Linked DNA regions of Saccharomyces cerevisiae S288C. The gene in region 1 interacts genetically with each later gene. Each region holds a gene or a part of one and is shown in the gene's direction. Other genes may lie near its edges.

The links.
Region 2: mutations in TAD2 (region 1) and GDH1 together harm fitness more than expected from each alone (negative genetic interaction), as found in Saccharomyces cerevisiae (one large-scale study listed by BioGRID).
Region 3: mutations in TAD2 (region 1) and BER1 together harm fitness more than expected from each alone (negative genetic interaction), as found in Saccharomyces cerevisiae (one large-scale study listed by BioGRID).
Region 4: mutations in TAD2 (region 1) and YKR015C together harm fitness more than expected from each alone (negative genetic interaction), as found in Saccharomyces cerevisiae (one large-scale study listed by BioGRID).

What each region holds. Positions count from the first base shown.
Region 1 is NC_001142.9:376,905-382,685, reverse strand, and holds TAD2 (tRNA(adenine34) deaminase), read left to right. Parts: upstream 1-1,684; coding exon 1,685-2,437; downstream 2,438-5,781. Other genes in the region: Hsp70 family ATPase KAR2, read right to left, coding at 1-1,359; SNX4 (Snx4p), read right to left, coding at 2,590-3,861; IRC18 (Irc18p), read right to left, coding at 5,350-5,781. UniProt on the Saccharomyces cerevisiae protein: Structural subunit of tRNA-specific adenosine deaminase, which deaminates adenosine-34 (the first, also called wobble position of the anticodon) to inosine in many tRNAs.
Region 2 is NC_001147.6:1,040,148-1,044,564, reverse strand, and holds GDH1 (glutamate dehydrogenase (NADP(+)) GDH1), read left to right. Parts: upstream 1-1,522; coding exon 1,523-2,887; downstream 2,888-4,417. Other genes in the region: YOR376W (uncharacterized protein), read right to left, coding at 1,006-1,374; aldehyde dehydrogenase (NADP(+)) ALD4, read right to left, coding at 3,166-4,417. UniProt on the Saccharomyces cerevisiae protein: Catalyzes the incorporation of an ammonium ion into alpha-ketoglutarate to form L-glutamate, the major route of assimilation of ammonia into an organic form in yeast.
Region 3 is NC_001144.5:945,027-950,928, forward strand, and holds BER1 (Ber1p), read left to right. Parts: upstream 1-3,341; coding exon 3,342-4,166; downstream 4,167-5,902. Other genes in the region: high-affinity Cu transporter CTR3, read left to right, coding at 2,227-2,952; YLR412C-A (uncharacterized protein), read right to left, coding at 5,241-5,447.
Region 4 is NC_001143.9:463,617-470,627, reverse strand, and holds YKR015C (uncharacterized protein), read left to right. Parts: upstream 1-1,960; coding exon 1,961-3,667; downstream 3,668-7,011. Other genes in the region: MIC60 (Mic60p), read right to left, coding at 1-911; Rab family GTPase YPT52, read left to right, coding at 4,557-5,261; PRY2 (sterol-binding protein), read right to left, coding at 5,680-6,669.

The sequences.
Region 1 (5,781 bases):
CATGACACCACCAGTGGTTTCAATACCAAGAGTCAAAGCGTTGACATCCAATAAAACAATATCTTCGACACCTTCTTCACCGGATAAGACACCAGCTTGAACGGCTGCACCGTATGCAACAGCTTCATCTGGGTTAATACCCTTGGAGGCCTTCTTACCATCAAAGTATGATTCTAACAATTGTTGGACCTTTGGAATTCTAGTAGAACCACCAACCAAAACGATATCATCAACATCCTTCTTTTCCAAACCAGAATCTTGCAAAACCTTCTCGACAGGCTTCAAGGTCTTCTTGAATAGATCTAGGTTTAATTCCTCAAACTTAGCTCTGGTCAAGGTTTCACTTAAGTCGATACCATCAACGAAGGAGTCAATTTCAATACGGGTGGACATTTGGCTGGACAAGGCACGTTTAGCCTTTTCAGCTTCTCTCTTCAATTTAGCTAGGGCCTTGTTGTTGTCAGACACATCAATACCATGCTTCTTCTTGAAAGCTTTTATCAATTGACGAACGATCTTATAGTCAAAATCTTCACCACCTAAATGAGTATCACCAGAAGTGGCTTGGACTTCGAAAACACCGTTTTCAATAGACAATAGAGAGACATCGAAAGTACCACCACCCAAATCATAAACAATAATTTGATGTTCCTTATCAGATTTATCCAAACCGTAGGCAATGGCGGCTGCGGTTGGTTCATTAACAATTCTCAAAACGTTCAAACCAGCGATGGTACCAGCATCCTTGGTGGCTTGTCTTTGCGCGTCATTGAAATAAGCAGGAACAGTAACGACAGCATGGGTAACCTTAGTGCCTAAATAATCTTCGGCAATTTGTTTCATCTTACCCAAGATCATACCAGAAATTTCTTCTGGAGTAAAAACCTTCTTTTCTCCTTTGACACTTACTTCTACAGCGGGCTTCCCATCTTTATTAACCACATTAAATGGCAAGTGCTTGATATCCTTCTGAACAGATCTGTCGTTATATTTCAAACCGATCAATCTCTTAATGTCGAAGATGGTGTTTTGAGGATTGGCAGCAACTTGGTTCTTTGCAGCATCACCAATCAATCTTTCATCATCGGTGAATGCCACGTAAGATGGGGTGATTCTGTTACCTTGCTCATTAGCAAGAATTTCAGTCTTACCATTTTTCATCACAGCAACACAGGAATAAGTAGTACCTAAGTCAATACCGATAACAGTTCCGTAGTTTTCTACATCATCGGCACCTCTAACTAAAACATTGGAGGAGTGGAAAGAATTCTGTAAAGGTAATATTACCACGAAAAGGGCGTACAGGACCACGGAGAGTGGTACCAGCAGCTTGCCAGCGCTTAGTCTGTTGAAAAACATGGTATGTTTGATACGCTTTTTCCCTTGAGACTACTCTTGGGGACTTTAAAAAAGTAAAACAGTAACACGTTAATCTTTAGAATTACATAGCCATATTTATATCTTCCAGAGAACCCTTTTCGTGTCCTTTATATAAAAAAGCAACTTTTTCGACACGCTGTCCAGTTCCTCGGGTGCCGCGCCGGGTGAAATTTCCAGAAGGTTCTATTAAAATAGAAAGTTGCAGCTAACATAGCAAAATTAGATGAATGATGAGTCCTAATGGGATCTACACTTTGCTCGAGAAGCGGCTGGTGGCTGCGGTAAAAACTAGAGGACTCACACTATGCAGCATATTAAACATATGAGGACAGCTGTCCGTTTGGCTAGATACGCTCTTGACCACGATGAGACACCGGTAGCTTGCATCTTTGTACATACGCCAACTGGCCAGGTGATGGCTTATGGCATGAACGATACGAACAAGTCATTAACTGGAGTAGCACATGCTGAGTTCATGGGGATCGATCAGATCAAGGCGATGTTGGGCTCCCGAGGAGTTGTTGACGTGTTCAAAGACATTACTCTATATGTTACTGTAGAACCGTGTATAATGTGTGCATCTGCTCTCAAGCAATTAGACATTGGAAAGGTGGTGTTCGGTTGTGGCAACGAGAGATTTGGAGGCAACGGTACTGTCTTGTCAGTAAATCATGATACGTGTACATTAGTGCCCAAGAACAATAGTGCGGCAGGGTACGAGAGTATACCGGGGATCTTGAGGAAAGAAGCAATAATGCTGCTGAGATACTTTTATGTAAGACAAAATGAAAGGGCGCCAAAGCCACGGTCCAAGAGTGACAGAGTGTTGGATAAAAACACGTTTCCGCCTATGGAATGGTCAAAGTATCTTAATGAAGAAGCATTCATTGAGACTTTTGGTGATGATTACAGGACTTGTTTTGCGAATAAAGTTGACTTGTCCAGTAATAGCGTCGATTGGGATTTGATTGACTCCCACCAAGATAATATAATCCAAGAACTGGAAGAACAATGCAAAATGTTTAAGTTTAATGTACATAAGAAATCTAAGGTTTGACGAAAAAAATCAGAACATCATAAAATAATAGCAACATTTACATATTTTTATATAGATATTTTTCTTTTTTTAAATTTCTCTGTTAAATGTGATCAGATAATCGTAGTGCCCAAGGTATTATCAGTAGTAATGGGAAAACATTAAGAGCACCACTATAGACTATCGTCTACTTTTTCCCATGCTTCAAGTATCCTTTCGTAGAATTCGATATGATGGTCCGCTAGTGAGCCCAGAGATTTCTTGATTTCAGCCGTTTTTACACTTTCGAAATGGTCTATTTCCTTCAAGCATTCCTGTTCGAATCCATCCGCCACCTTTTTAGCGTTTTCTAATTCACCTGTTAATGACGTTATTTTGCCTTCTAGTTTATTGATTTTTTCTCTACGTGAAGCCTCCTGATTTATTCCCGCTAGTTCTTCCAATTTATTGGCAAAGAAATTACTACCTCCGTATCCAGAAATCAAGTTATTTTTTTCTTTGATTGACCTGGTTAAATAATCACTTAGTTCTTCGTAGTCTATCTGTTTCTGGTCTTTCAATTTGATCAGCTGTCGCATACTATCAATGTAGTGTTCAAGATCCTTCAAATCAACAATATATTCGTAATCCAGATACTTTGTAAGATCTTGCAAGCCATATGACAGCTGTGTTACACCTTCATTAAAAATCTTCAACTTCGCAGCAAGTTCCTCGTTTTCGCCTGTGACCAATTCTTGTAATTCCTGTAAATTACTGCCCAACTTTGTATAGTCTTCAGACATCGAATCATTTTTTTTCACAACCTTATGAAAAAGTTTATCTATCTTTGTCACAGTCCGATCTAGTTTATCACTTTTCTCCCTTATCTCAGTGAATTCTTCGTTTTGCTTGTGAACTGTTTTGAAGGCATTCATAAAAGCATCAGTAACTTCATCTTTATTTGGTTGCAAGCTATCCTGGAGGACTTTGCGGTGAGATTCCCAATCTTTACTCACCAAAAAAGTTTTGAAGACTTTTGATTGAGAAAGATCGGGATGCAAAGAGACCCTTCTTAGGAAATTTTGCAAACTATGACATCTCTTTTGTGTAAATCTTTGGCTAAACCTATCGCCTGCTATGTATTGAAAAACTTTCTTATCAGGTAATGGCGGGATGATGCAGGTGGGGAACCTGTTGAGTAAAATATCATGCAGGAGCAATAGGTCACTGTATCTTCTATGTACAACTATAATAGATTCTGGATCGCCACGATTATCATAAAATGACGTGTTGTTAGTCTTTGTTGATATCTGATAACTCACGTAGCCAGATGAAGAGCCTGGGTCACCAGTTCTTTTTTGTGGATCAGAAACAATGATTTCAAACCAATATGGTGGCTTCTCGGGGTTGCCTCTGGCTTTGTCCTTAGCTTTGCTTGTTAAATCGTTCTTGCCTTTGTCTGTCATATCCTCAACAAAAAGAGCAGTATTGTGGTATACCGTAAATAAAGTTTAATAACGGCTTAGCCTACTACCAGAATTTAATCTGTTAATCTTGCGTCGTCACTTCGTTCACGGAAATCCTTGGTGTAATACCTCTCTCAATTCCTTGATACTAAACTATACATCGCTCTTGGGCATTGCCACCCCTTTCAAGCTGGAGGGCGAATACCCGGCAGGACCCTGTGAGCGCGGCATAGATTTTTGAACTGTTATTCTGAACTATAAACAATTAAAGGAGAAAAAATACAATATCTCAGTATTGCATATAGATTTTATAGGGTGTTTGATCGTACGCAAAGGGTGGCTTGCTTATAACAATACCAGGTTATTCTTGTGAATTAAAAAAACAAAAAATTGATTTCGCCCAGGATCGAACTGGGGACGTTCTGCGTGTTAAGCAGATGCCATAACCGACTAGACCACGAAACCTATTAATTTATGAAAGCTTGGGCTTTCAGCAGAAATTAATCGATTGTAAAGTTACCGTATCAAACTTATAATAATAAAGATGTATAAAACGCGAATGAAATAATAGTAACGGGAGAGACAAGATTGAGTATATAATTCAATAATTGCTTGCTTAAATGAAGCAGTTAAACCTGTAAATACCTGAGCAATCGGTTTAGACATGGGACTCCTCGCTTCACCAGATCTTATGTATAATATAGGATAAGTAACGATGTGCGAACAAGCCGACAATAAGTCTGACAACTATTACTCTCCTAACGATAGAATTGCCAAGACATCCGGTATTATTTAAGCCCTTAATACAACAAAAATTAGTAACGTAGTTTATGTCAACTAATTGTCCAAGATTGAAATTTGTTTAGAATAAATCAAGTGTCAGCTTGAGAAACTGACGAATATTAGTAACAAAAGGCACTACTAAATGGATTATATTGGAAGTTCATTCGCACACATCTATTGCCTATTATTACGTGTATATTACCTTATGTGGTACAAAAAGATGATAGATGTGATGAGATGCTGTCTCTGAAATTGAACCAAGTTGAGACGTAAAATTAATAATGTAAAACGAAAAACGAAAAAAATGAATAACATGTATATTGCCGATTCCGCTTAGTAGGTTCCGATAGGCTCGAGAGATCTAGTATGTTCCGTATATCTAATAATAGGACCTTCGTCAACAATGGAAACCCAACAACTGTCAGAAAATTGGCATAATCATCAGTTATTCTAGTAATATTTACTAGTCAGTGGGTGTTAATTGATTTTTATTCCAACGAAAGGGTGGGTATGTTTGAAAGTTTAATTGTTAATTAATACTTCAAAAATGCTTACCCATGGCAGTTACAGAATAGTTAGGTGTAATAAGAAGCAGAAATGCAAATATAAGAATGTCGTTAAAACACTATATATATGTATATATATACAACGATCTGAGATTAAACAATGTACAGGAGTGGCAAAAACAAAATCGGCAACATTTTCCTAAGTCAGAGCTTGGTATATAATGGTGAGCCAAATAAGAAATCCGACGCCTCCAATGCTGGCCGAGACTAAGCATAGACTAGTTGTCACTGTTATACATAAATCAACCACACCTTGTGCCAGACCAGCCTCTATCGTTGTTGCAGCGACTACTCTACTGATCCGTGAGAGCACCTCCTTCTTTTTCTTTTGTTCCTCTGTCAATTCCCCGCCCTTCTTGGCAACCAGATCATACTTATTCAAGAGGCTTTCAAATTTCTTTGTTGAAACGGTCTTGAATTTTTTTATGTACTTGAACGGAGATATATTTACTGCTCGGTTTAGGCCCTTAGTTAGCTTCCCTGTTTCTGTTTCAAATGTGTTATTGCCAACAGTTTCCATTTGGATTTCCCTTGTTAGCATATTCACCTTGTTATTCAATATACCATTTAA
Region 2 (4,417 bases), on another chromosome or scaffold:
GCATACACAGCGTATTTTCTTTGAGTATTTAATAGGTAAGCTAAGTTTCGTAGCTCGTTAGTAATATTACTCTATGGATTCTGTGCCACTTCTTCAAACAGGGCGCGAAAACCTTGAAGAAGCAGCGCACTTGATGCCCCTAGTGAGAGTCACGTGACGGTTATCCCATTTAAGGTATTCCTGTTGCGACCCCTCTCACACAGATATATCTTGCGGCTAGAGATAGGTTGTGATTAGGAATAGATCTGTAGATGTCTAGAGGAACGGCTAATGATTGGAAACGTCCGAGGAACATGAAGAAAGACGTAAAGTGGTAGCAATTCCGCGCTTGTAACTTGCGTGGCATGACCAGAAAGCCCACTTCTCTATCTGATTGGAAACCAAGTTTCTTCGGAACAATCTCTGCTTCAAGAACCTGCAATTTCGAAAATTTTTACCAAGCCGTCGGCTCCAATCGCGTAAGTGCAAGAAACTTTGCGTAAGCTGATCTTAGATCAGCACTCAAAGCCTTCATATTCTACCAAGAATGACAGCTTCCCAAGTTATTCTGTAAAGTGTAATCTCGCATACAGTAGTTCAGCGACAGAAGCTTCGAAAACTTCTCTTAATGATGGACTCTTCGACAGTAACAAACTAGCACACCGAAGCTCCCGACAAGAAGGAGATGAACTTCTTTAGGTTCAAGTCCGCTAAACTCTACAGTGATTCTGTCCAGCATTGGCTTTTTTTCTTGAATTATTCTAGCGGGCTGTGGCCAGTATACCAACCGAGCCAAACCATATTAGTAACTCCATTCAGTATAAAGTGGCACTGCTTCATGGGGCTGCGATAAAGAGTCCTAGAAGACCATGCGTTCGAGTCGATCTGGGCACCACTCCGCATCTGGGCATAACCTGAATTATACAACAATAACGTGGGGGAGGGCATCGTTTACGATTGGCTGGATAAGAGGATTTCATAAGGAATATGATGCTACATCCACTCAGGTCATTATTCTCTAGTGTATCAGGCTCCCCTTATGCAGGTTCCATGACTCCATGGAAACGGGCCTGATCTTAATAACCTTATCTGACCATCTGATTGGATGGCCTCGATATTCTTATCGCAGAACCAATGCGCCGGAACCGGCCCATGCATTTTCAGTGCGGTGGGGCAATAAAAAAGAAATAGTACGACCCCACGTCCAATCAGCAGAGAGAAGCTGTTATCAGCTGCTGCGCCGTTTTCTTTTTCATCAGGTACCATAATGAAAATCAGCACTGAAAAATTGCGGAAGAAGAAAGCGTAAGAAGTAGCAGCAAAGGCCGGCTTCTTGTTAAAGCAAAGTATACGTAATCTAAGTAAGAGAAGATTGGAAAATTTTCTGTTTTTCATATATAAAATATACGAGAGTTACAAATGCGTTTACCCATTTTATATTCTCTCACTCTTTAAATGACTTTTCTTATAGCATTGAAAGTTGCTTGATACGTACTATCGCATTATTCTAATATAACAGTTAGGAGACCAAAAAGAAAAAGAAATGTCAGAGCCAGAATTTCAACAAGCTTACGAAGAAGTTGTCTCCTCTTTGGAAGACTCTACTCTTTTCGAACAACACCCAGAATACAGAAAGGTTTTGCCAATTGTTTCTGTTCCAGAAAGAATCATACAATTCAGAGTCACCTGGGAAAATGACAAGGGTGAACAAGAAGTTGCTCAAGGTTACAGAGTGCAATATAACTCCGCCAAGGGTCCATACAAGGGTGGTCTACGTTTCCATCCTTCCGTGAACTTGTCTATCTTGAAATTCTTGGGTTTCGAACAAATCTTCAAGAACTCCTTGACCGGCCTAGACATGGGTGGTGGTAAAGGTGGTCTATGTGTGGACTTGAAGGGAAGATCTAATAACGAAATCAGAAGAATCTGTTATGCTTTCATGAGAGAATTGAGCAGACACATTGGTCAAGACACTGACGTGCCAGCTGGTGATATCGGTGTTGGTGGTCGTGAAATTGGTTACCTGTTCGGTGCTTACAGATCATACAAGAACTCCTGGGAAGGTGTCTTAACCGGTAAGGGTTTGAACTGGGGTGGTTCTTTGATCAGACCAGAAGCCACTGGTTACGGTTTAGTTTACTATACTCAAGCTATGATCGACTATGCCACAAACGGTAAGGAATCTTTCGAAGGTAAGCGCGTCACCATCTCTGGTAGTGGTAACGTTGCTCAATACGCTGCCTTGAAGGTTATTGAGCTAGGTGGTACTGTCGTTTCCCTATCTGACTCCAAGGGTTGTATCATCTCTGAAACTGGTATCACCTCCGAACAAGTCGCTGATATTTCCAGTGCTAAGGTCAACTTCAAGTCCTTGGAACAAATCGTCAACGAATACTCTACTTTCTCCGAAAACAAAGTGCAATACATTGCTGGTGCTCGTCCATGGACCCACGTCCAAAAGGTCGACATTGCTTTGCCATGTGCCACCCAAAATGAAGTCAGCGGTGAAGAAGCCAAGGCCTTGGTTGCTCAAGGTGTCAAGTTTATTGCCGAAGGTTCCAACATGGGTTCCACTCCAGAAGCTATTGCCGTCTTTGAAACTGCTCGTTCCACCGCCACTGGACCAAGCGAAGCTGTTTGGTACGGTCCACCAAAGGCTGCTAACTTGGGTGGTGTTGCTGTTTCTGGTTTAGAAATGGCACAAAACTCTCAAAGAATCACATGGACTAGCGAAAGAGTTGACCAAGAGTTGAAGAGAATTATGATCAACTGTTTCAATGAATGTATCGACTATGCCAAGAAGTACACTAAGGACGGTAAGGTCTTGCCATCTTTGGTCAAAGGTGCTAATATCGCAAGTTTCATCAAGGTCTCTGATGCTATGTTTGACCAAGGTGATGTATTTTAAATAGTCTAAAAGAAAGAAAAGAGGAAAGTTCATAAAAAGTTCTTTCTTTTTTTTAAATAACTTAGATAGATAATGAGATAAAAGAAGTAAAAAAACGGAATCGTAACGCAATTAATTAATTAAGAAAATTGATTATCGGGAGAAAAAAATTTTATTTTTTATTTTATTTTCTTTAAAGTACATATATTTGAAATGATGACATGTGGAAATATAACAGAGACAGAATATTTAATTTTATGTATGTAAGCATCGATTGGACACCAGGCTTATTGATGACCTTACTCGTCCAATTTGGCACGGACCGCTTTAACTTGCAAGTAGTTTTGTAAAGCATCAACAGACATTTCCCTGCCCAAACCAGATGCATTGAACCCACCGAAAGGAACTGCGTGGTGGAAATCGTTATAAGTGTTTATCCAGACCGTACCCGCATTAACTCTATCAGCCACTTTTAAGGCGGTATTAATATTAGAGGTGTGAATACCAGCAGCCAACCCGTATTCAGAATCGTTCGCCATGTTAATGACTTCGTCGGCAGATTTGAATTTGGTTACAGTGACAACAGGGCCAAAGATTTCCTCTTTGACAATTCTCATGTCTTCCTTAACGTCACCAAAGACAGTTGGCTTAATGAAGTAACCCTTGCTACCTAATCTTTCACCACCGGTAATCAAAGTAGCACCTTCATTCTTACCAATGTCAACGTATTTCAAGATTTTGTTTAGTTGCATTTGAGAGGTTTGTGCACCTTGGAAAGTAGATTCATCGAATGGGTCGCCCACCTTGATGGATTCAGAAGCGGCTTTGAACTCTTCAATGAATTTGTCGTAAATAGATTCTTCAACATACACCCTTGAACCCGCACAACAGACCTCACCAGAATTGTAGTAGATACCAAGGATAATGTTTTGCACGGCTTTTTTCAACTCGGCGTCCGCGAAGACAATGTTTGGTGATTTACCACCCAGCTCCAAAGTCACTTTTTTCAAGCCTGCGGCTGCGGACTGGTAAATGTGTCTACCCGTAGCCGTGGACCCTGTGAAGGCAACCTTTTTGATTTTTGGATGGTTTGTAATGGCCTCACCCACAATCTTACCAAACCCGGATACAATGTTGATCACACCAGGTGGAATACCCGCCTGTGGGATGTATTTAGACACATACAAAGCGGACAATGGGGTGGATTCGGCAGTCTTCAACACGACGGTGTTACCGGTGACCAAAGCAGGGGCAATCTTCCAGGCCCACATCAACAGTGGGAAATTCCAAGGAATAATCTGCCCACAAACACCCAAAGGCTGTCTCTTAGTGTAAGAAAAATGGGTTCTACCAGTATCAATCATTCTACCATCAATTTTATCAGCAAAGCCAGCAGAAGATTTCAAATAGTTGATGACTAAATCAACATCTCCTCTCGAGGAAGAGATAGCTTTACCGTTATCCAAAGTCTCGATGGAAGCAATGACATCCTTGTCCTGTTCAATTAATTCGGCTAACCTGTACAAAGCCTTACCCCTGTCAATAGGGTCG
Region 3 (5,902 bases), on another chromosome or scaffold:
GATGATTCTAATGTTCTGACTACTACCAAAAGTAAGAAAAGATCATTAGAAGATAATGAAACTGAAATTGAGGTATCCCGAGACACATGGAATAATAAGAATATGAGAAGTCTGGAACCACCAAGATCGAAGAAACGCATAAATTTAATTGCAGCAATAAAAGGAGTGAAATCGATCAAACCAGTTCGAACGACCTTAAGATATGATGAAGCAATTACATATAATAAAGACAACAAAGAAAAAGACAGATATGTTGAAGCTTATCATAAAGAAATTAGCCAACTATTGAAAATGAACACTTGGGATACAAACAAATATTATGATAGAAATGACATAGATCCTAAAAAAGTAATAAACTCAATGTTTATATTTAACAAGAAACGTGATGGTACACACAAAGCTAGATTTGTTGCAAGAGGCGACATTCAACACCCCGATACATATGATTCTGATATGCAATCCAATACCGTACATCACTATGCACTGATGACGTCACTGTCAATCGCATTAGACAACGACTATTATATCACACAGCTGGACATATCCTCTGCTTACTTATATGCTGATATCAAAGAAGAATTATACATAAGACCTCCACCACATTTAGGTTTGAATGATAAATTACTACGTTTGAGAAAATCACTCTATGGTTTGAAACAAAGTGGTGCAAACTGGTATGAAACCATTAAATCATATTTAATAAATTGTTGCGACATGCAAGAAGTTCGCGGATGGTCATGCGTATTTAAGAATAGTCAAGTAACAATTTGCTTATTCGTTGATGATATGATATTATTCAGCAAAGACTTAAATGCAAATAAGAAAATCATAACAACACTCAAGAAACAATACGATACAAAGATAATAAATCTGGGTGAAAGAGATAACGAAATTCAGTACGACATACTTGGATTAGAGATCAAATATCAAAGAAGCAAGTACATGAAATTAGGTATGGAAAAATCCTTGACAGAAAAATTACCCAAACTAAACGTACCTTTGAACCCAAAAGGAAAGAAACTTAGAGCTCCAGGTCAACCAGGTCATTATATAGACCAGGATGAACTAGAAATAGATGAAGATGAATACAAAGAGAAGGTACATGAAATGCAAAAGTTGATTGGTCTAGCTTCATATGTTGGATATAAATTTAGATTTGACTTACTATACTACATCAACACACTTGCTCAACATATACTATTCCCCTCTAGACAAGTTTTAGACATGACATATGAGTTAATACAATTCATGTGGGACACTAGAGATAAACAATTAATATGGCACAAAAACAAACCTACCAAGCCAGATAATAAACTAGTCGCAATAAGCGATGCTTCATATGGTAACCAACCATATTACAAGTCACAAATTGGTAACATTTTCCTACTCAACGGAAAAGTGATTGGAGGAAAGTCGACAAAGGCTTCGTTAACATGCACTTCAACTACAGAAGCAGAAATACACGCAGTCAGTGAAGCTATACCGCTATTGAATAACCTCAGTCACCTTGTGCAAGAACTTAACAAGAAACCAATTATTAAAGGCTTACTTACTGATAGTAGATCAACGATCAGTATAATTAAGTCTACAAATGAAGAGAAATTTAGAAACAGATTTTTTGGCACAAAGGCAATGAGACTTAGAGATGAAGTATCAGGTAATAATTTATACGTATACTACATCGAGACCAAGAAGAACATTGCTGATGTGATGACAAAACCTCTTCCGATAAAAACATTTAAACTATTAACAAACAAATGGATTCATTAGATCTATTACATTATGGGTGGTATGTTGGAATAAAAATCAACTATCATCTACTAACTAGTATTTACGTTACTAGTATATTATCATATACGGTGTTAGAAGATGACGCAAATGATGAGAAATAGTCATCTAAATTAGTGGAAGCTGAAACGCAAGGATTGATAATGTAATAGGATCAATGAATATTAACATATAAAATGATGATAATAATATTTATAGAATTGTGTAGAATTGCAGATTCCCTTTTATGGATTCCTAAATCCTCGAGGAGAACTTCTAGTATATCTACATACCTAATATTATTGCCTTATTAAAAATGGAATCCCAACAATTACATCAAAATCCACATTCTCTTCACTTCTCCGATAGACTTGTAATTTATCTTATTTCATTTCCTAACACTTTGATCGAAGAAGAGGGATAACAACAGACGAAAACACATTTAAGGGCTATACAAAGATGAATATGGGAGGCAGTAGCAGCACTGCTGCCAAAAAAGCGACTTGTAAAATATCGATGTTATGGAATTGGTATACCATTGACACCTGCTTCATTGCCAGATCTTGGAGAAATGACACCAAAGGAAAATTTGCTGGTTCTTGCATCGGCTGTTTTGCGCTTGTGGTGGTAGCTCAATGGCTTACTCGTTTTTCAAGGCAATTTGACGTAGAGCTATTAAAAAGACAGAAAATAAAGCATTTAGCTAGTTACTCGCCAGAGGAGTACGTTGTCAAATGTGGAGAAGAGGATGCTAAATCTGATATAGAAGAACTACAAGGCTTTTACAACGAACCAAGCTGGAAAACAACTTTAATTTCCTTACAAAAAAGTTTCATTTATAGTTTTTACGTTTGGGGTCCAAGGAGATTGAACGAGCCAGAAGACGACCTGTTAAAGAAGGTCCTATCATGCTGTACATTAATAACGCCAGTGGATTTGTACCCAACTTTTTTGGATCACATGATAAGAGTTACTATTTTCGTATTACAGTGGGGGTTATCTTATATCATCATGCTGCTGTTCATGTACTATAACGGCTATATCATTATTAGTTGTTTAATAGGTGCTATCGTTGGTCGTTTCATATTTTGCTATGAACCTCTAGGCTCATTGGGTGCTAATGGATCAGCCCAGGGTACAGTGAGTTATGATAAAGAGAGTGATGATCGCAAATGCTGCTTGTAGAAAGACAAAAATGAATAGAGGAAAGCCGAGAGGTTTGTTTCAAAAATTGACGCCTTCCTCATTTTTTTCATAATTAGCTGGTAAAAGTTACTATTTGTAACGACTGCTAAATAACAAATAATTATTCGTGTAAAAATAAATAGCTAATACCACCAGGTGTTCATATTCCATGACTGCATATTTGGGAAACGAGACGGTTTGAACATCCTTAGTTGATGTAAAACTATAATAAAAGCTCTATGGGAAGTAAACTATCTGCGGGTCGGGTAAGGAATGATGCTTGCTCGACGTGTAGCGATGAAAAAAGTGAAAACTTATTTGAACTCTAGAAAACTGCTAAGATCCTGAACTGATACCGAAGTTAATGACCTTGACCGGTCTTCTGCTGTATGGATTTTAAAGCAAGTGGGACAAAGTTTAAGAAAACTGGCAAGAAGGTAGTGCCTGCTAAAGCGTTTGAAGAAATTGTTCAGACAAATAGAGATGTTCTGAAAAAATCAGCATTCCTCTCAGATTTACTTGAAAATTTACAACCGCACCTCAATAACATTAAGAAAATACGATGTGTTGCAATTGGAAATTTCAAGGAGGATTTTCCTGCGACGTACCAATTCGCTCTTCTCCTAGAGATTACTGATTATATAAAAAGTGAGGATGAAAGGGATGTCGTTGTTTCCCTGTATGATCCAATATTTACTAAAGAAGAGATACAGTACTTGAAAAGTTTAGGAAGCAAATGGCTGATAGAGGAAGAATTTTCAGAGAACGATGCAATTGATTATGAATCGGTATTATATTTCCTTCCCCATGCTCCTTTGGATTTAACTGAGAACATACTATCGTCACAGCGACCACACTTATGGCTGGCAAATAATATGATATCACACACCGATAGATACACCAAAGCAAAACTTTGTGAAAACTATCCTAATTTAAGCAAGCTAGTTCATTACTTGCAGACTAACGCTCCGCCAGAAGTTAAAAAAGCACATGATGTAGATGGTTTTGCAACATTCATTCCAAAGAGAAAAAGAAAAAACAGAAACAACTCCTCTAAACTCAAGGTCACACCATCTGATATAGACTATGATTCAATAGCACCGAAGTTTAAGTCCTGCCAAATACTCACCGATTTTGATGAAGGAAAGTATTTGAAGGAAAAACCCTGGATCAATTCCTTCTCTGACTTGACGTTACATGCTATAGAGTACTAACATATCATTCACTACATAGTACTTTATAACTAAACTGTAACCTTTCAGGGCATCGTAACCTGACGCTTTACCATCAATAACGACACGAGACCGCTTTATCTATGATACTGGAACAATCAACATGATTGTTATAAATGTACTCGACAGGATCATGAAAGGATACCAACTTAGTTGCCGGTTCATTGAAATGGAAAGCTCAAGAACGTATACTGAAAGAGAGCGACGTCTACTTTGCCCACAAAAATCTACTCTCTGAATTGAATAGTATTTAGAGATTGCATAATTCAAGCCCTCCTCGAGGAAAGGATATAAATGAAAATACCGTTTTTCCTGCTGATGGTTATCGTCCCTGTCAAGGATACTTCTCGGACTCGAACAACGTTACAGCTCAACTTAAAGAAGGCTAAATACGACAAGGGCGCTTGCCCTAAGAGGAACTGTTTCTAAGTTCTAACGAGTGCCTGCGAAGATCGGTTTTTTTTAACTTCGCGGGCGAATTGATAAATAAAGTTCTTCTTGCAATTTTTTAAGATCAAGGTTGGGGCAAAAAGGACGCAAACGAATGGTTGGGTTAAGAAAGTGGAAAGACCCAAACCTGAAGTTCATTTAGTTCTTGGCGGAATGAATCATTCGAACGGCGCAATACGCTCGTCAAAGAAGGAGGTATGATTTATGACGGTTTGTGGGTAGCCCTCTAAACACGTGGAGAGTAACCTTTTCTGTTTAGCGATCCTAGAACTGCGAACAATGGTAGCTATTCGCTTACTCAACAATATTGTTCTTGATTAATGCATTCAAATATGTAACTTCGTCCCTCATATAAGCGTCTGACGCGTCGTGAAAATTTACCCTCTCAAGAAAATACAAGAGATTACGTAAAATTAGAAACCAAAAGATATGAGTGGAACAGACACATATCACCCATATTTCCTTTTCACGTAAGAAAACTTAAGTACTAGTGCGGTGCCTGCGTTAGTGCTTGTCTTTAGGTCAAACAGGTCATCTTGACCAACTTAGCTTATAATAAGAATGATAATCGATTACTCTAAATAGCATTCTTTCATTTGCGGCATCTTATAACCCACACACCGCATTTAGGACCCGTTTTTTTTCTTTTTTTTTTTGTTGAAAAAATTCAACAGTTCCTATTTTTTTCTTTTCATTCTTTTTTTTTGCCTTGCCTTCGTTTCGAGAATTCTTTTTCTTTTTCTTTAGGTAAGGGACCTTCTCAGCTGAGGCACGGTGGGGTTTGTAATAGTGTCCATTCTGGCACAAATGCATAAGTGATGCTAAAATAGTGATACGTCTAAACAAAACGGTTTGGATGCCTAGCAAATAGTAAAAAGACTTGAATATATCACTTTTATCACTATGTAAAAAAACTGAGTTATATTATTAAGTTTTTTTTGAAATGTTCCCGTTTGACGTGTATTTAGTACAGTATGTTCCGTGGATACTGTTTAGGTGCATTTAAGCGCTCCAGAACTCTCCTTTAAATTCCTGCAGCACTCCGTCAGTTGCTTCGTAAATCCGCCTGGATACCGCCTTGAAGATTAAAGTTCCCCTCAGTACTCGTTTAGCTTGAATCCACCGCATTATGGCCTGGTAAATTCCCTAGTTGCTTTTTTCTATACGGCGTCGTCCCTGGAAAAAAAAAACTTGCCTACAGATCTTAGTAGACAAATTTAACTACGTCAATCTATTGTTCTGCTTAAAAAAAAAGTTGAAATTGTTAA
Region 4 (7,011 bases), on another chromosome or scaffold:
GAATTTATTTCCTCTAAATGGGCTAATCTGCCATTTCTTTCCTTCTCAATTTTGTCTTTGATAATTTTATTAAATTCTTTGACTTGAGTGATGGATAGTAAGCCCACTTCATTTGCATGTTTGGCTTGTAACAATTCTTCGTTCGCCTTTAATTTTTCTTCTAGTTCTTTGTCCTTTTGCTTGGTCAAGTTTTCTTTGAATTCGTCTACTTCTTGTAATAGGTTTTTTTGAAGATTCTTTTCAAACTCCCTTTTCGAGTTTTCATATTGTGTGTTCAATTCCGTGATTACTTCTGATGTTCTTTGTATCATGTAATTGGATAAAGCCTCTTTTAACGTTTCATTTAATTGGGATAGATTCGTAAGCATATTCTGGTTAGATTTTTTGATTGAATTGAATTCTGATTCGGGGATGGAGAGGTTTGAGTCATTTAGACTGTTGATGAGATCATTCAAAGAGCCAATGATTTCTTTCAGTTGCGGATCAGAATTTTCTGTTTCAATATTTAGTGGTTCTAATGATAAGATTTTTTTTACTTCAATATTTTCCCTATTAGATCTGCGCGTTTGTGAACTACCAGTTAATCCAGATAATAAATCATTGCTCTTTGCCTTCAAGCCGTCCCAAGAATCTTCTAAAAACAATGTTGGCCTATCGTGATAGTGTTCATATGTTTCTAGTAAATCCTCGGCAAAAGGAACGTTATTAGAGAAAAAGTCACCAAATTTGTCATTTTTTTGCGAATATATGATACCTCCAGCGTAGAAAGCTGTCGCTGACAAAGCAATAGTCCAAAGGGTATTGCGAAATTTGTGCGAAGCCTTTTTTGATGCAACGGTAGTCCCTGTGTTTATGCTGGCTAGACCCCTCCTTAGCACAATTTTTCGTGAGGCAGTAGTTCTTAGCATCATACGAATATTAGTTTTTTAGACTTTTCAATGCGTTCTTATGCCTTTTGTGTTCCTTTACTGTGAATAGCTTCCTCGAGAATAAGAACAGTTTTTAATTTCAGATTATTTTTCACTTTTTTGACAACCCTTAATTCCGATTCCGCACAGAAATCCGTCTTAGAATTTTATTGGTTCAATGAGTCTGCTACACGTCTAAAGTGATTCAATTCTGCTTGTCCACTGCTATGATGCATTGGTTCTTTGCCGACTACGTACTATAAGAAGCCATTTGATGAATCACTATTTTGCAAGTAGTTTCTTCTGTTGTTAGTTTTTTGCAATATTTATTTCTCTTTTTTCTGTAAGAAGTATATGAATCTTACAAAATATTATGAAAACTTTGTTGTATGCTATTGTCATAAGAATGGTTACGGAACGTACGAAAATAGACTTGCTAACTGTTTTTGAGCTGGAACATGTTCCACGCTCCGTGTTTGATGTATAGCATATATTGTATTATGTGCCCGGACGATTGCGTGAAGATGGAAATGCAAGAAAATTACCTCCGGAAACTGATAAGAGATCTTGAGCGTATTTTGATTTGCCTGGCCTTATAGTAAACGGAATCATATCAAGTAGTTGATAAAAAGAAATGTATTGGTTATATTGGATGCTGTGCGGATATGTATTTCGATCTCTATTGAAATGTATGATATTTCTTTGTTTTCGTCAGACACTGAAACCATGAGAAGGACCCAAAAAAAGAGTAAAAGACGTTTGTCATCCAGGATCAATGACGTTACTTGCCTCTCTATAAGCTTAAAGCGCTTAGCGGATGATGGACGTGTGTAATTTGTTACCCGCCTCTCTTTTTTACCTTGTTGTGTCAGTAATTGCATCACCTTTGTCACCACAGAAATGGTAAGAAAATATGGCCATACAGGGCAAAGGAATTTGGCATATCAGTCACTGAAAATAGTCCATAAATTTATTTATTTTTTGTTTTAAAGTGATTACTCGGTAAGGTCTCGAATAGTTAAAAAAAAAATTGACGAGATTTTTTTTTAGCTATGTTTCTGGACTATTCTGGATATGAGGCTCTTACTGAAATCAACTCTTCCTTTGGAAAGTATGTTCTTCTATTGCAACAATTTGAAGGCTGTCGAAGTTTGAAAGATCGGCTTCAAATGCTTAAGGATCTGGGGAGGGAATTTATGATATTCGAGAACTTGAATGTGGAAGATTTCAGAGAATCTAAAAATATGATTCACAGATTTTATACTATGGTTATTTCTTTAAGACAGATTATGGAAATTGGGCCCTTAGTCAGGCGTAGCCCTGCTGTTTTAGTTGTGGAATTCGATTGTCCGGTAGAGGATTGCCTAGATGAACTGGATCCGTTGCATCCATTGAACAGGGCCTTTATATTTATTCATAAACAATGGACCTATTATCATCAATATTATATAGTTGAAAAGGTAAAAAAGGTGATTCTTGATATGGCCCCGGTAAAGGAAGATGATTGGAGCATCCTTCACAAGGTTGTTTATTCAGAAGGTTTTGTCGAAAGACGATATAAAAAGAAGAAATACCTCGGTGATATTTACATTCCACAACCATTAATGAAAAGCAATAAAATCACTACTATCTCAAATTTTTCCCAACTTACCAAAATTTCCAACGTCAGAGTTTACAGATTCAACGCTACAGCAGCGTGTGATCCGCAGAACTTGAACAAAAAAAACTTGAGTATCAAAGAGCTTAAAGATAAAGACCTTCCTAATCTTATTTGGACTTTAGAACCAGAAAAATTCTATGTTGACATGAGACCTTACAAGGAACACGAGGAAAGGAAAAAACGGAGAGAAGAAGAAGCCAAGGTGAGGATGCAAGGTGAGGAACAGGAGAACATTATGATAGAGAGAAAAAAAATGGATAGTATTGAAGTTGAAGCGTCATCAGGATTGAAAAATATCATAAAAACACCTCTCGCTAATAGGGTTGTCAATACTTTTAATAACTGCGCTGCTGTGGTAATAGGCTATGTAACAGAAGTGGATAAAGTAAAGGATGACAATGAAGAGAAAAATAACGACAGACCTAAAATTGCGAACGACGGAATAGCTCAAAAGTCTAGAAGCGAAAGTGAAGATAATGCAGGAACACCGATGGAAAACGCGTACTTTCAACCTGAACCCCAAGATAATGACCAAAACAACATATCTTGGAATACCACTATGAAAGATATTGATCCAATTTACATGAGTGAAAGATGTGCTAGAGTTTGGAGAAAGGAGCAACAAATGCTAGGATTGGAGAAGGCTCAGACATTTGAGAAAAAATATTGTAAAGATCAGATGGTTATGGACGAAAATCAGGTCGAAGAACCTGGTAAGCACTCGGAGAGACATACAAAAAATCAGGTAGTTAGACCTAGGACCAAAATAGCATCTTCCGCCAGTAAAAATGATAATAGTAATAATAAAAATAGTAAATCATGCAAAAATTGCCATAAAGAGGAAGCGCACGGTCTAGTGAGAGAATACCTTAAGATTAAACTCAACATATCACCTCATGGAGAAAGGAATCAGCGAACAAAGGACAAGAGAAAATGTATAATGAAATACAATGCGAGCAGTAACAACATCAACAAAATGCCTGGGGAGAGTGAAGTACTTGGGTCAACTATTTTAACAGATATCCACTTTAAGGATGTCGTAACTGTGAAATTTAGGGATTTTAAAGCCAAATTTAGAAAAGTCAAAATAAACGCTTGATTTGCCAAAAATGCTATAGTCGCATCTAGAAATCATTACCAAAACGTGACGATTAACATAATACATTCAAAAATAAGATAGGATGCATTACATTTCATTATACCGTGGATTGGAACTGAAGATGAAAATTGCAGTAAATAGACAATAATCAGGCCTTATGGTTGTATGTCATATGTATACTCAAGATTTGAACTTTATATCACCTTTATTAGCGCATTAGCGCACATTTTAGGCCCCATTTCGAGGAATGTGGATTTTTGGCAAATCAATGTTTCTAGGTGTCTCTTAGCTTTCTATATAAGGAGTAAGGTATGCTTCTTGATGACATCAACCGTTTACTATACTTTTTTTAGATATTTTGTTTTCTGCGATAAGTATGATGGAAAGTAAACTGGTAATAACGTCAATACGTACTCTCTTGTAATTGTAGTGAAGCACAGTAATTAATATTTAAGCGTTCCCATGTTCAAATGTGTGAAAGGTAGGTAAAATCATTATGTTAAATTTTGAAATCCACATGACCTTGAATTAAATAGGCACATCACGATTGTAAAGGAATGAAATCAATCTGACTCCAAATTACTCAATGTTCTTAACACTATGTGTATCATTGAGACCAAACGGCAACTTCATAGTGTCTTGCTTTCGTGGACAGCGACTACTATTCTGGCCGGACAATTCAGGTTTATAAAGCTCTGCCCCTGCGATATGAAGTTACAATGTTAACATACGGGAGTGAAGGGAACAGGCCCGTTTACCAACTGTCAGTATTAATTATTTGTTAAGTCGCTTCGATATCGAGCTCTGGACATATCTAAATTTTTTTTTATAGTGCGAGGGTAGGAAGAAGGTTTAACTTATTTGGAGTAAACGTATATATTATTAACAGATGTTGCAATTTAAACTAGTTTTATTGGGTGACTCATCCGTGGGTAAATCTTCCATTGTTCATCGTTTTGTTAAGGATACATTCGATGAACTACGTGAAAGTACGATTGGTGCTGCTTTTTTATCTCAATCAATCACTATTCACCCAAACGATGGTAATGAAACAAAGGATGTCGTTATAAAATTTGAAATCTGGGATACTGCTGGTCAAGAAAGATACAAGTCATTGGCACCAATGTATTATAGAAACGCTAATGCAGCATTAGTTGTTTATGACATTACGCAGGAAGATTCACTACAAAAGGCAAGGAACTGGGTTGATGAGCTGAAAAATAAGGTAGGCGACGACGACTTGGTTATTTATTTACTGGGAAACAAAGTGGATTTATGTCAAGAAACGCCTAGCACTGAGACAAGCCCAGATTCAAACGAAGGTGGAGATGAAGAACAAAAAGTAAGAGCAATTAGCACTGAAGAAGCGAAACAGTACGCACAAGAACAAGGGTTGCTGTTCCGAGAAGTTAGTGCTAAGACAGGTGAAGGGGTTAAGGAAATTTTTCAAGATATTGGTGAAAAATTATACGATTTAAAGAAAGACGAAATTCTCTCTAAGCAAAATAGACAAATCGGTGGAGGCAATAACGGACAAGTAGACATTAATTTGCAAAGGCCATCCACAAATGATCCAACATCTTGTTGCAGTTGATATCCTATGATTTGTGTTTTAGAGGAAAAACAACAGAAGTTGCTTTAATTAAACTGCTACTTTCCGATAATAAAGCAGTATATACGTAATAATGTAAAAAAAAAAAGAAAAGGGAAGAGTAACTTTATATATGATTGTACATATACAGTATACATGAATATATATATATATATTTATATATATATATATATATACGTAGCCGTCGGCAAGATCTCCCAATTTTTTTCGTTCACCCTATTTACCATGCATGAGACTATGACAATGTTATATGATCTTGCTTGCATTTAATTTGCGTACCCTAGAAAAGAAGAATCCTTAGTGTATAATAAAAATTGAAACTATAAAAGAGAAATGTAAGAGAAGGAACAGTGCCCATTGCTGTTCATGTCCATACCCATGTATTCGCTAAATTCAGTGATTAAGCTAATGGCATAACGTTGTCAGCAAACTCACCAATGACATTACCAGCGGCTTTGTAGGAACAAATGATGTAATCGCCCCATTCGCCACCGCAAGATTTCAAACCGCAACCAACTTCAGAAGTTCCCTTCCATACGACTTGGGTGAAGTGACCTGCGCTTTCACTAAAACCAGGGTTGGAATAGTCGTAGCTGGTAATTTCGTTATACCAGGCATCAACAGAGCCGGTCGTACCGTAACCAAGTGCCAAGTTTTCACCGTATGGACCGCCGGAGTGGACTAGGTTGCCTGAACAATCGTAGGAGTCAGCGTAGTTTTGTGCATATGTTGCTAGTGTGTCAGACCATGTCAAAGAACCGGTATCCTTGTGCAACGCCCTTTTAGTGTTGTGTTCGTTAACCATTGACGTTGAGAAATCGGAGCTTGAGGATTGAGTGCTTGAGGCGGTAGATTGAGTGGTGGTAGCGGTGGTTGGGCTAGCAGTAGTAGTTGGACTAGCGGTAGTAGTTGGGCTAGTGGTAGTGGTTGGGCTAGTGGTAGTGGTTGTTGGAGTAGTTGTGCTGGTAGGTTGTGTTGAAGATGTTAAAGTTGTGGTTACATCATCCTGTGTGGCACTTGCGGAGGTTTGCACCGCTTGTATGGTTGCAGTTGCTGTAGAAAATGCTTCAGATGTTTCTGTAGAGGATTCTTCAAATGTTGCAGATTCAGCCACGACAGCGCTTTCTTGGATAACGGAAGTAGCTATGCTGTCCACTTGAGCATTAGCAACCACAATAGGAGCTGATGTTGTGGCAACGGGACTAGCAGAAGCCGTTTGAGTGCCCTTGGTAATGAACGTCGTTAGAGTCTGGCCATTTTCTACACGAACTATACCTTGTACCACTACAGTGGCAGCTTGGTGGACATGTTGCGTGACAGTCACAGCAACTGGGGCAGATAAAGCGACAGATGCAGATGCGGCCAGTAGTGAGACTTTAGAAAATTTCATCTTTGTAAGTTTTATTAAAGGAATGGTATTGTTTTATGATGGGCTGTTTCGAGGAACGATGATACCAAGAGCCAACAGATCCATCACAGCAATATGTAACACTCTGCGACAAGCATATATATATACAAAGATCAAAAGCATTGCCTTTGAACGACGTCTATGTTTCAAAAACATTACATATAGAGAAGTGCGTGAGATACACGAAATGTACTGTAAATAGCACACATGTTTATTCCCGCTATAGGAAAGATGATCTATGGGCAGATCTCTCATTCGTTTCATAACGGGGTCCATTTCAGTGATGCGTTTTCTTTTTTTACACCTTTTCACGAGGCCGGCTCG